2 linked regions of the Drosophila melanogaster genome follow. The protein of the gene in region 1 interacts with the protein of each later gene in a pairwise test. Each region holds a gene or a part of one and is shown in the gene's direction. Other genes may lie near its edges.

The links. Proteins that work in one complex are often made in the same cells at the same time.
Region 2: the proteins of CG32700 (region 1) and CG3815 interact in a two-hybrid assay, tested with the Drosophila melanogaster proteins (one large-scale study listed by BioGRID).

What each region holds. Positions count from the first base shown.
Region 1 is NC_004354.4:9,544,781-9,552,609, reverse strand, and holds the start of CG32700 (uncharacterized protein), read left to right. Parts: upstream 1-1,771; 5' UTR 1,772-2,180; intron 2,181-7,829. Other genes in the region: l(1)G0320 (lethal (1) G0320), read left to right, coding at 1-671.
Region 2 is NC_004354.4:6,291,660-6,300,419, forward strand, and holds CG3815 (uncharacterized protein), read left to right. Parts: upstream 1-3,729; 5' UTR 3,730-3,846; coding exon 3,847-3,894; intron 3,895-4,050; coding exon 4,051-4,241; intron 4,242-4,304; coding exon 4,305-4,989; intron 4,990-5,049; coding exon 5,050-6,572; intron 6,573-6,643; coding exon 6,644-6,833; 3' UTR 6,834-7,311; downstream 7,312-8,760. Other genes in the region: mldr (mulder), read left to right, coding at 1-1,009, 1,076-1,448; CG15892 (uncharacterized protein), read right to left, coding at 1,521-2,085, 2,151-2,479; CG15891 (uncharacterized protein), read right to left, coding at 2,945-3,394; CG12219 (uncharacterized protein), read right to left, coding at 7,638-7,865, 7,949-8,138, 8,204-8,760.

The sequences.
Region 1 (7,829 bases):
CACCTGGCCAGCAGCTGGATCTGCCCGGCGGCAAACCCGTCGAGTTCCTGATTGGATTCACCAACAAGGGAGCCGAGGAATTCGTGATCGAGACGGTGGAGGCCTCCTTCCGCTATCCCATGGACTTCAACTACTTCATCCAGAACTTCTCGGCGGTGGCCTACAATCGTGAGGTGAAGCCCGGCTTTGAGTCGACCGTGTCGTACACCTTCCTGCCCTCGGATCAGTTTGCCGGCCGTCCATTTGGACTGAACATTGCACTGGCCTACCGCGATGCCAATGGTATTCAGTACAACGAGGCCGTGTTCAATGAGACCGTTCTGATTTCGGAGGTCGATGAGGGTCTGGATGGCGAGACTTTCTTCCTGTACGTCCTGCTGGCGGGCATTGTGGTCCTGCTACTGGTCATCGGACAGCAATATCTGCTCGGCAGCTCTGGCAAGAGGAAGCGTGCCGCTGCCAAGAAGGTGATCGAAACCGGCACGGCCAACGACAGCACCATCGACTACGATTGGGTGCCACAGGAGACGCTGCGTGCGCTGCAGAAGTCGCCGCCCAAGTCCAAAACGCCCAAGACCTCGCCCAAGCCCACCAAGCCGGCCAGTCCCAAGGCGGCCAGCCAGCAGAGTCCCAAGCAGCGCAAGGTCAAGCGTTCCGCTGGCGATGATTAAGTTCAAATCCGCTCAAGACTGCACATATCCCAAACACCATCGAAAGCGGTAGCCATAACATCGGCTGCCGAAGGAGCAGTAACAGCAAGATCCCACTCCCTCCCGTCATTTTCATCCTGTAGGGAGAAAAGCAAAAAGTTTCGTAATTAATTAGTTATGTACATCATGTTCGATCATTTCTAAAGATCATACTATCATAATTTTTTTTTCGTCTATCGAGATTGTTAGTCTATAAACGAATACCGAACCAACGTTTTCACAGATTTGTTTTAGAAATTTGAACTTTGAAATGCCCACAACTGCACATACTCCAAACTCAACAACAACAACAACAACCACAAACAAACAAAACAAATGAAAATGAAACCAACAAAAAATGAAACCTAAAGAAATCCCCTTGCGAAAGTGTCTTCGTTTGTTGAAGACACATTATAGAAAGAGGAGTAGCAGCAGAATGAGTCGAGTCTTCTAACTGAATGGAATATCGAACTTAAATAGAAGGCAGACCGATCGATTGCGTTGTAAGACAAGAAAGCCTTCCAATTGTACGATATGTTTAAATTAGTCCTACTATTACAATTGATTGCCCCTCGTGTTTATGTTTCGTCTCTCCCCTCCCCTCCCCCACCCACACACACCCATTCTGATTTGGAGTGTATCATTCTTTTTCTGTTAAGACCAAAATATGTTGAAGTGAGTTTTTTTTTTAGCTAGAGAAGTCGCAGAAAGTCAGTCGACTGATGAATAATGAATAGATTTTCTTACAACAAAACAAAATGAGAAAAAAAAAAACGAAAATAAAATTAAAAAAAAAAAAGATAAAACTGCGATGTTTTTATGTATGTATGTGTGTTGGGTAAATTGGAAAAATATTTTAAAATTAACTAAAGTGCATCGAAAGCATAAACTTGCTCTGCGGCGCCATCTGTTGGCGACGACTAGTAGTTTTCTTGAAATTGCATCGGCTAAGCTTTCAGTTGAGCAGAGCTTTCAGCGCTGTTAAGATGTACCCACTCCACAGTGCTCGTTAGCATCGCTGTTAAGGACACGGCAACTTGTTGTCTTCCCGCTGTTAGCGTTTCGCATCGTCCATTTGTAACTCATTCGTCAACAGACTCTCGTGCGGTTCGGTTCTCAGCCTCAGCCTTTGAATTCAGCATACTCACATCACAGTCGCAAGTCACTGGTCACTGGTCACAGTTCACAGTCACGCAGTTACTGCCTTTGCCCGGTTTTCGATTTTCGAAAGATATTCGAAAGTGCTGAACATACATAATTTTTTTTTTTTTGGTTTTTGTGCTAATCTAAGAAATTGAGTATATATACATAAATATACACATAAAGTGCAATAGCGTTCCGAAATACCATTTTTCAATTCGAATACAAACGACCGAGCCGAAGTGAAAGAGTGTGTGTGGCAAATATTTAAATCCCATTCGCGTTCCGATTCGGAGGAGGATTTGGCGGAGAAAGCTTGAGACACAGAGAACACACCGCAGTCAAAGGTGAGTGAAGTGCTTGACAAATGTAAATATGGTCAGTTCCATTGTGACAAGGACTCAAATTCCGACCGGGAGTCCCATTTGCAAGTCCGGAATTGGGGCTATGTTTGCCAAAACCAAACGGAATGAATCGGGCAGCACGGTTTTGATAGATACGAAAAATGGGCTTTCGAACATTCGGATTCAGTGGAATATTGAAATTAAAGATTTTTATGGAAAAAATAAAGAAATAAGAAATGAATGATGAGTAGAATGAATAGGAAAATTGTAGAAATGAAAGAATGAAGAATAGATATGAAGAAAAGGAAGATGAATGAATGAAATGAAATTAATTAGAAAATTGTACAAATGAAAGAAAGAAGAAATGAATAATGAATGAATGAACCGAAATCATAAAATTGTAGATACATTTAAAGTTGATTTTAAAATATACCTTCAATCACTATAATTGGACTACTTAAATAGGCACTTATGAAACTGTAGTTAACAAAAGAAAACAACTTGTCAAAACTCCTAATGAATTGCATTGCGGAAAAACGTGCCTAAATGAACTGTTTTATTATAGCGGTAATCGTAAACGTGACGAATTAATGGCATTGATTAAATTACCTAAAAGTCCTTGGGAAATGTAAATAATTTTCCAAATTAACGAAGCACTGCTCCTTGTAGCACATTAGAGCTCCAGCCAAATTTCTAAGCAATTACGACTTTGGATGAAATCTTAAAAGAAATATTTGAAATATCCTTGGCGTAATGTTAGCAATGAATTCATGAATGTCCTAGCAGGTGCCTATGTGCACATGTTTGCTTATTTGGCCCACCATTTGTTTGTCTGTCAACAAAATGGTTGACTTGAATCGAGTCAAGTCGAGTTTGGTTTGGTTTGGTTTGGTTTTCAGCCAACTTTGCAGGGGAAGAAAATGAAGTGAATTAATTACCTCTTCGGGCTTGAATTCGTAATTAATTCACTCTTGTTCCATGCCCGTCGTGTGGCTCCTTCTAATTCGACTTATAAATCATGTTGGATCTGGAGCGCTGGAATTGTGAAACCGAAGGGCAGGTGAGTTTCCTTCTACGCAATGGTTACAAAGACATTTTAAAGTCATCGGAAATCTGGTCAAAAATACATATATAATTGCTGAAAGTGTATAGTGTTCAACTAAAGTACAATATATTTGTATGATTACAAATGCGGAAATTCGATTTTTGTCGTGTTTTGCACAACTTTTGTCAGTTAACTTTTTAACGAATGTGAAATAGTTTTGCGTCAAAAACTTTGCGCTTAATTGAAATTCGGTTTCGCCGTAATTCGTAAAATACTTTTCTGCAGATAAGCTGTTTTTAATGCGAAAATGTAGTATCTAAATGAATTGTGAGAAACTAAATTGAAAATTGTGTTGATTTCGAAAGGTATAACATGTTTTTAAGCCGTATTTAATAAGTGCGGAAAAACAGTGTGAATTTTGGGAATTCGCTAAAATACAAATAATTTAAACGTTTCCGTTTATAGAAAATGAATGAAAAAACTTACTTGTTTATTATATGTTTATATTATAATGATTAATTATTGATGATTAATGATTAAAATGATTATTTACTAATACACTAACCTACGTTTCCCATTTTTTGGAATTGTCTAAAAGATTTGCTGTCATTTGCGTGTATTTTGGTTTTGCTTCTATTTGAAATTTTTCCCTAACCGGTTAGGGGATGCAAATAATTTTCAAGCAATTTTACTTAATTGCCTTTTGCAGATAATAAATCATTTTCTTTGCAATTTGCGCCGACATCAAAAACCCGCACTTAAGCGGAGGTCCCCGCAGAATTCAGCCACCTCCCATTTTTGTTGGCCTTCATTCCAGTTAACCCCTTTCACCCCTCCCCCCCTCCCCTTGCCAAGCTTTCATTCCATTCCCCTTCAGCCACTTTCACCCACTTTCACCCACTTTCACCCACTTTCACTCGCTGCTCAATCAGACCTTAAGATGGCCTTAGTTGGTTGCTCCTTTTTTGTGTGACGCTATCTGCTTTTTGCTAATTAACTTGGCTTGTTGCCTGTTGCCACAAATACAAATACAAATACGCACACACTTGCAGAGAAAGAAAGTGTGCCTCACACACAGACACACACGCACACATAGAACAAGTTGAATAAGCTACGTTTTGAATTTCTTTGGAATTCGAAAATCTCATTAAAATGTTTGCCGAGTCTCAAGGAAATGGGAAATATCGAGCGGGAAAAAAACCCTTCAGAAAGGTGTGTCCTGGCCAAAAAATTGATTGTAGTTGACATCTTATTGTTTTCTCATGTTTTATCACTTTGTTGAAGAATAATGCTAAAAACAAATAAGCCAGTACATGAATAATAAAATTATTTTAAATTAGCGTTACTTTGTTTCAAAATACTGTTTTTTTTAGCATTTTGCAAGCAGTAAATAAAACTTGGATCTAGATCTAAAAAGAAAGTGCCCAAAAGTGATTGAGCCATGATTAGCAGCGAAATAAAAAAAATAAAAATCGATTGAAGCAACCCAAAGGAAAACGCAATGTCAAAGGAAAATTCGGAAAGAATAGGAAATCGAAAAATGGCAAGCAAAAGACGACTGAAAGAAGGGAAGGTGAATGAAAATTATGAGATAACAAGGAAATTTGAAAGCACCAAAAGAAAGTTGGATATGAAAAGCGGGCAAGAGGCGCAAAAATAAAACTAAAATTGCAGCAGCAACAAAAGTGCATTTAAAAATGCACAAAGATGATCAAAAAAAAAAAAAAAAAAAATCCGAAAAGTATGCAACCACACAATTTGATTATTTTCTTTTCAACTTTCACCATTTCCACCGCTGGATTTTAACATAATGTACCGCACTGCAGCCAAATTGAAATATGAAATTATAATTGCATTTGCATCCTGGGCGGTCGAAAACAAAAGATCAAAATATCAAAAATATTCGCCGACGAAAATGTACCATTTAATTCCCTCTCGTTTACTTATGAACCCGAAAATACCAATACTCCACAAACATGTGCGATGACAACATTTTCCACACCCCACCCCGAAACAAGAATGAAAAATGATAATTAAATAACAACCAAGAGAGGGGCAAATGGGAAATGCGAACAAATGCTGGAAAAAAACAAGGTGCGAGCTAAGGGTTAAACACTGAGCTTGTAATTCACTTGGCTGACCAACTAAAGTTTCTCCTACCGAAAATTTTTTTGGCCAACACTCGTCGGGGATAAGAGTGGAAAACACAGTGGAAAACTATTTTCGAAAGTGATAGGGCATTGCATTTGAAATAGTTACAAAACTATAAAACTACCAAAGCCCTAACTTGATTGTTAATTACTTGAATTTAACAAGAGTTTTTGTTTCATAAAGTTATGATTATTTAAAATCTTTTTGAAATATTAAATCCAGATTGTAAGATCTCAAAGTTGATGCTAAGCGCCTGTGGATTTCGAATTAAAATCCCAAAAGATTTCATATTCTAGTTGATAAAAACTTAGATTCCCAACAACTTAGCTAGCAATTTAACAATGACATTGTTTTATGTACTTTCCAGTGTGACAAACGGGGCGTTGGAGGGTTAAGGCTGGAAAAGGGGGAAAGTTGGGTGTTAAAGGGGGCTTTTGCCAGAAGACCTACACGTAAAGTGGAGTAAGGCAGCGTAAAGTTAAGCAGAGACGACAACTTTTTTGTGCATGATAACGACAACAACACAACACTAATGGCCATGTATGTATGGCATGCCATTCTACACGTGTGCCTGTCTGTGTGGCTTTCCTTCTGTGTGTCTGTGTGTGGGTTTACCCCCCCCCCCACTCCCTTCCGTTGCACATGTGTGTGTGACAGGCGGCTGTCATTTGTAATGCGCTACGCAACAAGAAAAAGGAAAAAGGGGGCGGCAATCGGTGAAAGGAGTGGCAAAAGAACGAACGAAGGGGAAACTATTTCCCGACATTCGGATTCCTCGTCAGCGGAAAAGCAGAAAAACCTCTAATGATACGAACACGGACAACTGGAATAGTTGAAAACAACAATTAGGTGTTAAGCAAGCGAAAGTAAAACCAAGATATTCAAGTATAAAACAACTTTTGAAATTTTCAACAAATTGGATTGGCTTCTTTCTAGTTCCAGTTAGTTCTAAGTAAATGTTTGATTCGAACTTTTAATTGAATATGAGTTTTAAATTATTAAAAAACATAACTTGAAATCAATTGTGATATCGTAGCCAGGAATATTTGGTAATTCGTTATTTTCTAGTGACTCATATACTGTTATTCATATAGGTTAAATTGAAAAAAGTGCTCCAGAAAAACTACTTCAAGAGCCTTTTAATTATGGTATATATATAAACATGTATCTGCGTCAGGGTCTGGATATACCCTGTTGAATTCCATAACAAAACAGTAAAATATCATGTCACGAAACAATAACTTACACACACACACACACACACACACACAGAGACACACGCGTACACACAGAGAAAAGCGGGTAAACAATGCCATTGCTTGAACAATTCGCAAGTCGAATGGCGAAGAGATGTGGGGGCAAAAAGGAATTTTCGTTTGTCACCGCTGCTTTTGCTGAGCGCGAGCAATATTCATAAATTTTTGAAATAAATGTTTACAGACACTTTGCAGGATTTCCCACCTATTTTCTTCATCTTCTTGTTGTTGTATTTTTTACTGCATATGTTGCTGTTGCTTTTTTTTTGTCCTTTGTTGTTGCGCAACGCACTTGATGCAGATGAGATATATCCCTGAATGGCGGGAAAAATAGCAGTAGCCGTGCGATTGCGATTGCTATTGCGAGTCTAGCACATTTGCATGGATGAGTGTTTGAGTGTTTGAGTATTGCCAGAATGGCAGATATACATAGTTCACTCACTTATTCATGCCCGTTCATTTGCATCGAATGCGGCTTGTGCTTGTATTTGCCAGAGTTTCCACACTTTACCCACTTTTCACCGCTGTCACATCGAATCGCAATCAGTTCCGCAATTCGACATGAAATTAAGTCGTCAACTTGGCAGATTGCTAACTTTGACATTGACTTTGGTAATTGCCGTTTAAGCTGCTTTCAAGATTTGGCTTTTAAACACAATGTGTAGTGAACAAACTATAAAAGGCATTAAAGAGTATATTGTACACCGTTTTAATAGCTGCATAGGTAAATTTGAAACTCGAAACTATATTTTTCGATTTGGAAAACATGGTTGCATGTTTAGAAACCGCTGTATACAGCGTAATATATTATTAAGTAGATTCCTTGAAAATATGCTGCATTAAATTAGATAAAGTACAAGTTTGCTTATTCTCCCCAGTTTCGTTTTTCTAATTTTTTCCCCCCAGCATTTTTTTTTAATGTAATTTTGTTTGTTTGTAACTTTTTTTTTCCCTAAATTGAGCTTGGCCCCTCACTTTACTCATTTCGCTCGCTCTAATCTCTGGTATATTTTGTGGAAATTTAGATATGGATAGTGAGAGTTGCAAAGCTCAAAGGGAATTTCTGGGCGAGTCCTGTGCATTTTTCATGAGGATTGCACACCGAGAGCAGCGGAGCATCAATTAAACACTTTTCTCCCATGGCTAACACAAAAATAAAAATAGCCAGGGGAAAAGTGGGAAAAGCGGGAAAACAGCAGCCGGA
Region 2 (8,760 bases), 3.3 Mb from region 1:
TGTGCAGTGCACCCAACCAATTGTCGTTGGCCAAAAGCTATGTGGAGTTCCTGAGGAGCAGGGGCTCCAAACCGAATGCAGCGACACTGGGTCGCCTGCTGAGGGTCTACAATGCCGCCTACCACGAGCGACCGCTTAGCGAGGCGGAACAGTCGGAGATACTGCAGATCTGCCGATCATTGCAGGCGGAGCACGAAACTCTGGACGCCAGCAGCTGCGAGAATGTGATTCATGGACTGGTGGCCACCAGCGGCGATGATTGGCAGCGCGGACTGCCGCTGCTCGAGATGATGAAGGTCACCAGTACGCCCAGTGTGGCCGCCTACTCCGCGCTGGCGGAGAAGGCCTTCAGTGTGGCGACACCGGAGCAGGAATTGGCCTGGCGCCTACTGGAAGAGATGGCCACGGCACGGAAGCCGCCCAAATGCGAGGTCTATCTGGCGCTGCTCAATCGACTGGCCAACGAAACGGCACAACTTCCTGCACAGCTTAGCCTTTTGTTGCAATTCCTCGAACGCCATGAGATTCTAGTCAGCCAGCGGGTGGCGATACGATTGCAGGAGCTGTCCAGCCAGGTGCCCCAACTGTTGCACACCAGGACCACCCATTTGGGAGGTCTGGGCAAGTGCCAGTCCTGCCAGCAGCACCTCCAGCCGGTGGCCATCAGCGATGAGGAGTTCCGGCAGCTAAGCGAATGTTTTCTGGAGCGCGTGCTCATACGACGAGACGTCTTCCAGCGCTCCACGCCCGAGGAGGTGGCCAGGTTCAAGAAGTTTGTCGAAAAGACGGCGCCATACGACTGTGTGATCGATGGCCTCAATGTGGCCTACTCTACGGGCACCAAAAAGACGCCGCAGCAGCTGGCCAAGCTAGTGGCTACGGTGGTGCGTCATTTCCGGGAACAGGACAAGCGTGTCCTCGTCCTGGGACGCGAGCACATGCGCAACTGGTCCAAGCAGGCCATGCACTATGTGCACTGCAATGCCAGCCTCTTCTTGACCAGCAATCTGTAAGGGAATTCATCTCGAATTGGAAAGGGATAGGTAGACTAATTCGTTCGTTCGTTTGCTTATAGGTCGCACGATGATCCCTTCCTGCTGTATGCCACGCTGCGCAGCGGCCAGGAGACAGACTTCTTCTCCCGCGACCTGATGCGCAGTCACGCCTTTCATCTGGGCACCGAGCTGAAGCCCATCTTTCGTCGCTGGCAGCAGGAGCACCAGTTCTCCCTGGTCACCCAAACGCAAACGGGTCAGATTATAGTCAAGGAGCCCGTTCGTCATCGGCTGTGTGCCCACCAAGTGGCGGACACCTGGCATGTGCCCTACTGCGCGCAGTACACGCCGCATCCCACAGACAGCTTCGAGGTGCCCGCCAACTGGCTGTGCATCCAGATGAAGGAGCAGACGATACCCGCCACCAAAACCAAGACCAAAACAACGAGGTGACCATGTGAGCAAGACTTCTTATGCGAATAAATAGTAGCCAAATGTTAACACGAATACACTGAAGGAGCCGTCCTAGTCGCAGTCATAGCGGGTGCACTTCTCAAAGGCTCCAAGACCCTGCGGCTGGGGCTTCTTGCGACGGCGCTCGTACAGCAGCTTCTTCTCGGCGGCGCACATGAGCCGACGCTTGATGTGATTGTCCATCTCGAAGTCCAAGTCGGCCGGCTTGGCCAGCTCGTTGGGATCCCTTGTGGCTGCCGAGTCCAGCGCCTTAATGATCAAACTGAGCAGCGCGTGCGCGAGGCGATGGCACACATCGTACTCGATGGCATCCTGGCTGGTGTAGTAGATGGCCGACTGTGAGGTGGGCTGCACACCAATGGCCAACAGGATGTTGCAGAAGATGCCGCGCTGCATGCGCGCATACGGATCCACCAGCTGCGGCGGAATGCGCATCGTTGTGGCCAGATGGGAAATGAATTTGGCGAACTTCTTGATGAGCACGTTCAGGTACTGGGTGCGGCACTGGCGCTCCAGCTTGGTCAGCATGTTGTAGTACAGTTCCTGCTTGCGCTTCAGGAAATCCTCCTTCTTTCGCTCCTTGGTCTTGTTGCTCTTAAGGATCTGCTCCAGCTGTCTGTTTTTGGGAATGAGATGAGATGATTAGATCGCGTTAGCAACTGATGCAAGCGCTGCACTTACTCCGTGGTAATGGCTTTGTATTTGCCCAGCATGCGCTTGATCCGCTTGGCCCGCAGCTTCGGATCGTATACATCCTTGAACTGCTCGTAGTTGTCGATGAGCGTGTGCAACTTGGGCTTGGACAGGGCCACGTCGTAGGGCTTTACCTTGGGCGGCAGTGTCGGCTGGTAGGCCATGCGCCGCACATACAACTCCAGCTTGTCCAGTTCCTCCTCCCGCCGCTTCTTTACGTTCTCCTCTGCGCACACATCCGGATCCTCCTCCTCGGGCAGCGACTCCGTCGACGTGGGCATCGGCTCATCCCAATCCGAGACATTGGAGCTGGCCATGGCTGAAGAGTACTACACGGAACTGAACTAAACGAAACGAAACGGAACGGCTCGTCTCGGCTTGGTAAATTTGTACGTATTGGAAATTTAGCTTTGAACTTGGTTACTTATAAACACAAAATAATGTTTCGAAATCTTTTTTGTGTACGAAAAATTTGGGTAAACGGGAGCACTAACAATTTTATGTATTCACGCTGCGATAGTGGATCACCTTATGAGCAGTCCCAGTTGAAATGTGAGCGAGGTAAAACCAAAGGACTACTTGATAGTCAGAAAAGTTCTACATGTTTTCAAAGAAATGGAACATTAATTGTATGGCAACAAGATTAAGGAATTCCAATGACTCACACCACTAACAAGCAAAAGAGCACTGCATATGTGGTTTACAATTAAATAAGCAACGTTTTATTATATGTAATGTAATGTAATGTATGAATATTAACCAGTGGATCTATGGATCTAAAGCTAGTAACACTCGTTCTGCACGGATCGCTCCAGGGCGAAGGTGTACTCCTCGGCCAGCTCGTCCACGGACAATTGGCGCGTTAGTAGCGCCAATATGCTGTCCACCTGCATTTGGGTGCTGGTGTAGCGATCCTTGTTGGCCAATCCGGGTGCCAGCTCGAATGGAATGTCCTGCAAGTAATTGACGGGTCCTTGGGCTCCGGGCTGCTTCACTTGATCGCTGCGCGGTCCTGGCATCGGCGGATAGGGCAGATAGCCCGCTGGCGGCATAGGTGGATACATGGAGCCGGCTGGAACACCCGGATGAGGAGCATCCGGTACTGGTTTGCGCTCTATGAACACGAAATCATCGACACTGGTGCCTGGACGGGTTGCCTCCGCCGGTCCCTGGATGGGCTGGTCATCCGTGGGCGTTTCCGCGGGCTTGCGTTTGCCAAATATCGAAAACATTGCACTATTTTGTTCTATTGTTTGGTAAAATCAACTGGCAAATTGCGTCGTCCGCCAGCTGTGATGCTCTTTTAGCGGGCGTTGGTCCAAAACAGCGAGTGCTAGCTAGTGGTGTGCCCAAAAGATGTAAACATATAGGTGTCTATAGTGAGGTCTGAGCGAAATATGAGAATTTTGGGTATTTAATTTTTAACTATTTGTTTGCTTGGGTATTTTTCGGTTACGAATGTGTATACCCAATATAAACTTTATTAATTGCAAGTAGTTAGATTTGGAGTGAAATGCAGTCTGCACTGAATTTCCGTTAATCGCCTATCGGTGGGCGCGCAGTGTGGCCATTCGCTCGTCGGATGCGCAGGGCTGGACAACCGACACTGCGCCCGCCTCCGTCGCCAAGTGAAGTCGCTCCGAGATTGATTGTGTACACCGGATAAGAGGAGCGAGCGAAAAAGATGTCAAAATTGGACCAGGACCCGAACGCCTCACTGAGCATCATGGAGGTGAGTGTGCCGCCGGGACGCCATTCAGAGCTTCAGTGTGTCCACTGCCCGGAGCTCCAATTCCAATCGGCGGTGGCTACTCTAGAGCTGCCACATTAACGCATTCACAACTGTCTCCATTTCCCACATTTAACATAACTTTACTACTTCGCGCAGCAAATCAAGCAGCTCATCCGCCCGCCGCCCAACGAGGACGAGAAGATGATGCAGCGGTCCACCAACACGAAGCATCCGTACTACAGGCGCCCGGGCAGGGGCCACAACCACGACTATTGTGACGCCTGCGAGGAGGGCGGCAATCTGCTGTGCTGCGATCGATGCCCCTCCAGCTTCCACCTGCAATGCCAGTGAGTATATACACGCGCATATAGCTGCTCATTTTGAGTGCTGATTTCGTGCTTTCGCCACAGTGATCCACCGTTGAGCGAGGAGGACATACCCAGTGGCCAGTGGCTGTGCCACAGCTGTCGCATGAGCAAGCTCTCCCAGCCGCCGGCCTCCTCATCCAAGGCCAGTTCCGTGGAGCGTGTGCCTTCGGCGGGCAGTGGCTCACGGGCGAATACTCCATCGTCTGGCGATCTGGAGTCCATACCGCTGAAGATCCGCAACCTGCGCAAACGCAGCAACAGCGAACGCAATAGCACCGAGAAGCTGCTGGCCAAAATGCCGATGTCCATACAGCGCGCCCTCGATCCGAACAAGAAGCCAACGCCGCTGGACGATGTCATCAGGGCGGCCACCATGATGAATCCGCAGCAATTCTCGCTGCCGCCGGAGCTCGAGCTGCACACCCAGTTCCCGGGCAATGGCAAGGTGCAACCCGTACAGCAGACGCATCCGCCGAGCGGAAATGGCGGTAATCGCAGATGCGCCGGCAATCAGCGACGCAACTCCAAGCCGTTTGAGCTGGATGCCCAGGGACTGGTGCCGCTGCCCGCCAAAACCTGTTTCTACTGCACGCGCTCCTGCAAACGGGCGCCGCTCATCTCCTGCGACTACTGTCCGCTCTACTTTCACCAGGATTGCCTGGATCCGCCACTGACGGCACTGCCAGCTGGATTGTGGATGTGCCCCAATCATGCCGAGAATTTTATCGTAAGTCAGCCAACGCACATGGAGGTCTGCTTGGGTTCTAATGAGGATGTCTGTTCACAGGATGCCAATATGACCAATAGCATTTCGGCCACGGAGCGGGTGCGTCTCTGGAATCGCTTCCACCAGCCACTTGACCATGAAAATGTCAAGCTTGAGTTCTTCCGGCGTGTCAACACGCGCAATCCGCCCTTTCGCACCAAGAGAAATCTGCGTGCTCGCGCCCACATCGAGGTGCCAGCCATTGTGCGCTACCACTACGATCATCCGCCGCCGCTGTTGCCCTCCATGCGCCAAACGTTGCGCTACGATCGGGTAAAGCGGCGCAATAACCTGCCCACCGAAGTCGAGGAGATATCCCGTGAGTCGGTCACCGAATCGCTGCTCAAGGATCTGGAGGCCTTGCGCACGGCTCACGCCAAATTCCGTGAGATTCAGAGGGAATTCGGAACCTTGGAGACGGCCATAGATGGCGATAGCGACAGCGATCCCAGTCCTGAAGAGAAAAGGACCGAGACGAACACTCCCGCCGATAAAGTGAATGGCGAAGTGGATACGGAGAATCCCAATACAGAATCGAATGCGCAGGCCAGCGAACAGCCGTCGGTTGTCAAGGTGGAGTCCAAGACCAGCCTAGAGGTGGAGGCTAGCTTCGAGGAGGACGAGGAGGACAGCAAGAAATCAACGGGTATTATCGATGCAGACCTCTTACACCTGGACGTCGATATAATCAAGAAGCTGGCGCACCAGCGTCTGCAGCAGCTGGTCGAAGAGCATCCGGAGATTGTGACACAGTACAAGAATCGCACGGCCGCTCGTCGCCTGCGTCAACTGGCGTCAGTCGATGGCACACATGTGGCTGGCGAAACTGCTGCCCTGCAAGGCCAACTGGCGCCGGAGGATATGAACCGTTTCTCGCTGCTCTTCACCAGCGAAACGTCCTCAATTCTGGCGCAAAAGAATGGCAATGCCGCCGACGAAGATCCCGCAACGGCCCTGCATCCGGCACTGGCCACAGCGGCGGCCATTGCAGCAGCAGATGCCGCTGCCGAAAGCTATGCGCCGCGTGCCCGTAGCGACACGGAGAAGGCATACGAGCTGGCATCGCGCCTGGAGCTCAAGCTGCTGCAGTGCAAAGTGCAGGCGCGTGCGGTGATAACGCCACTGGGCGACATGCTCGAGGATAGCCGCTGGTTCAGTTCGCTGGGGCTGGACCATTCGATTTTCATGCGCTACCGCACGCTGTACATTGGCTACGGTGGACACTATTCGCCATCGACGACGCTGGCGCAAACGGAGACCGTGGACCTGTCGGCCATTGGTTACTGTTGTCGCATTTCACCGCAGCACGCCATCATCTTCTACGACGAATTCTCCAAGTCGTACGAGCTGATCAATTACTCAGAGTTTGGCACCGAGGTGAATGGACAGCTGTATGCCTGCGACGTGACCGAAAGGATGACAACGCACGCCGGCAAGCCGATGCGACCTGACGATGCGGAGCTGAAGAAGCGCGTCGATGAGATGCTGGACAAGCGTCGGAACATTAATCGCCAGTTCGAGACGAAGAAAATCGACAAAGAACGGTAGCTATAGTTTATTTGCCCAACTTACCCAATGATGATGATAACCACTTGTTGATTTAATCTCCCCGCAGATTGGCGCCCATTGTTAAGCCCGCCTGCCGCTGCATGAACGCCGGACCAGTGCCCATGGTGGATGGCGCCTGGGAGGGATCGGCGGTGCTGGCTCACGGCAGCCTGCTGCGATTCGGTTGCCTGTCGTTTGTGTTTGTCGTGCCGTCGGTGGATCTGCTGCAGGCGCAGGCGCGCAGCAAGCGTTCGTAGAACCAGTACCCAGACTCCATCAGCAGAAGCAGCAGCCTTTAGTTTAAGCATTAAGACACAGAAACATATACGCGCTCAACCGCAGCCAACTCCAGTGGAGCAGCACCAATCTCAGTGGGGCAGCTAGCAGCCAGGCATAGGGTTAGGGTTAGCAGATACCAGTTCAACTTCATCGCATCAATCATCGCAATGCAAAGCCTCGGCAGTACTTTTAAATCACACAATCCTCCAATCCCATCCAGCATTAAGGGTATATATTTGCCTTATGACCAGTGCAATAAATACGGAGTACAAACCACGGATGTGCACGGCTGCAGGCTGATCCATGCCAGTGGGCAGTGGATCTCTGGTATCAAACGCCGTATTTATTGAATTAACCATTACGTTCATAAATCGCATAAACCCGCATCGCATACTTTACTTTTATTGTAAAAACAGATGTATAAATTGCTAAAACGAAATAAACTTGTAAGATCAGAGATTTTTTCACATGCAAATGGATCGATGGAGCCACCAATTAGCAGTAAGCCCCGCCCAATAAGTGCACATGACTTTTAGTTTCTTTTGAAATGAATGTGTTTACTTTATAACCAGATCAAATCCAACTGGTTAAGGCATTATAGAGAACGAGAAGAGTATACACAATAGGTGCCAGGCGGCGGGACGCCTTGACTTTGTGGAGTACACGAAACGTCGGATAAGTACATTCGGTATGGCTAATATGCAAAAAATATATATGTATATATTTGTAATTGTAAAGATCTAAGACTACGCATGCACCGCGTCCAGGTGCCGGCTGCCATCCTAGAGTGCGGCCGCAGGACCCGGCTGAGCCTGTGCCTGTGACGGGTTGGTGTGCTGCATCTGCTCCTGGACGCCAGCCTTGGCCGCCGAGCGCGTGGCTCGCGATCTCTCCCATTCCGCTTTGTGCTTGCGCTTAGTGTGATGGTACATATTCGACTTGGAGCGGAATTCCGTGGGACAGAAGGCGCAGGTGTGCAGCTTGACGCCCGTGTGCGTGGCAAAGTGCTCCTGCCGCAGAAGAATTCATTATCATTAGTGGTATCCATGCAGCTGCGGATAACTGAAACAATGCAAGGCAGTGCAGTACTCACCTCCAAATATCGCTTCATCTTGAAGCTTTTGCCGCACACATCGCATGCGTACTTGGGCTTGCTCAGGCAGCGATGATTCTGGCCAGGAAGCTCACCGCAATTGGGACAAATGATCGAAACGGGTGCCGCATGGATGACAGCCTGCAGCGGAGCCGCCGGTCGTTTATCCGTCTCTGAAGGCGGGTGGTTGCTGTAAGAGATTCGTTAGTAAGCTTGCTGCTTGCTGCTTGCTGCTGGAGTATCCAATCGACTTACCCATAGGGATGCGCCATCATTGTCCCAGTTGTCGTTGTCGTCGTTGTTGTGGCACTGCTCGTTCCTACGGCCGCCGCTGCAGCCGCCGTTGCCGACATGACAGCAAAGAGTTGTTCCTGATGTTGCTGTTGCAAAAGGCTCGCACACAGACGCTGCTGCAGGCTATCCGGTTGTCCTGGCGGATTGCCCGTTAGCGAAGCGGCTGCCACGACAGCAGCGGCTACCGCATTATAATTGGCCAGTATGAGCTCGTTCTCCTTGAGCCTTTTCTGCGGCGAATCCTCGTCGCTAACATCGCTGCCCTCCGTGTGCTGGACCTTTTTGGGCGAGTGCGTCTTTCGGCGACTGGATCGATTGCGTGAGCCCCGACTACCGGATGGCGGTGTCTTGGTTATGGTGAGGTTCATGGCCTCGCTGGGTTGACTCTTGATTACCGACAGCGGCAGCTGTTGGACAGTTGGTGGCGATGGTAAAGGAGCTGCTGCGAGATTGGTGGTGGGTGTGGCAGACGAAGCAGGAGTAGCAGTAGCAGCGGGATTTACTGTGTTTCCAGGAGA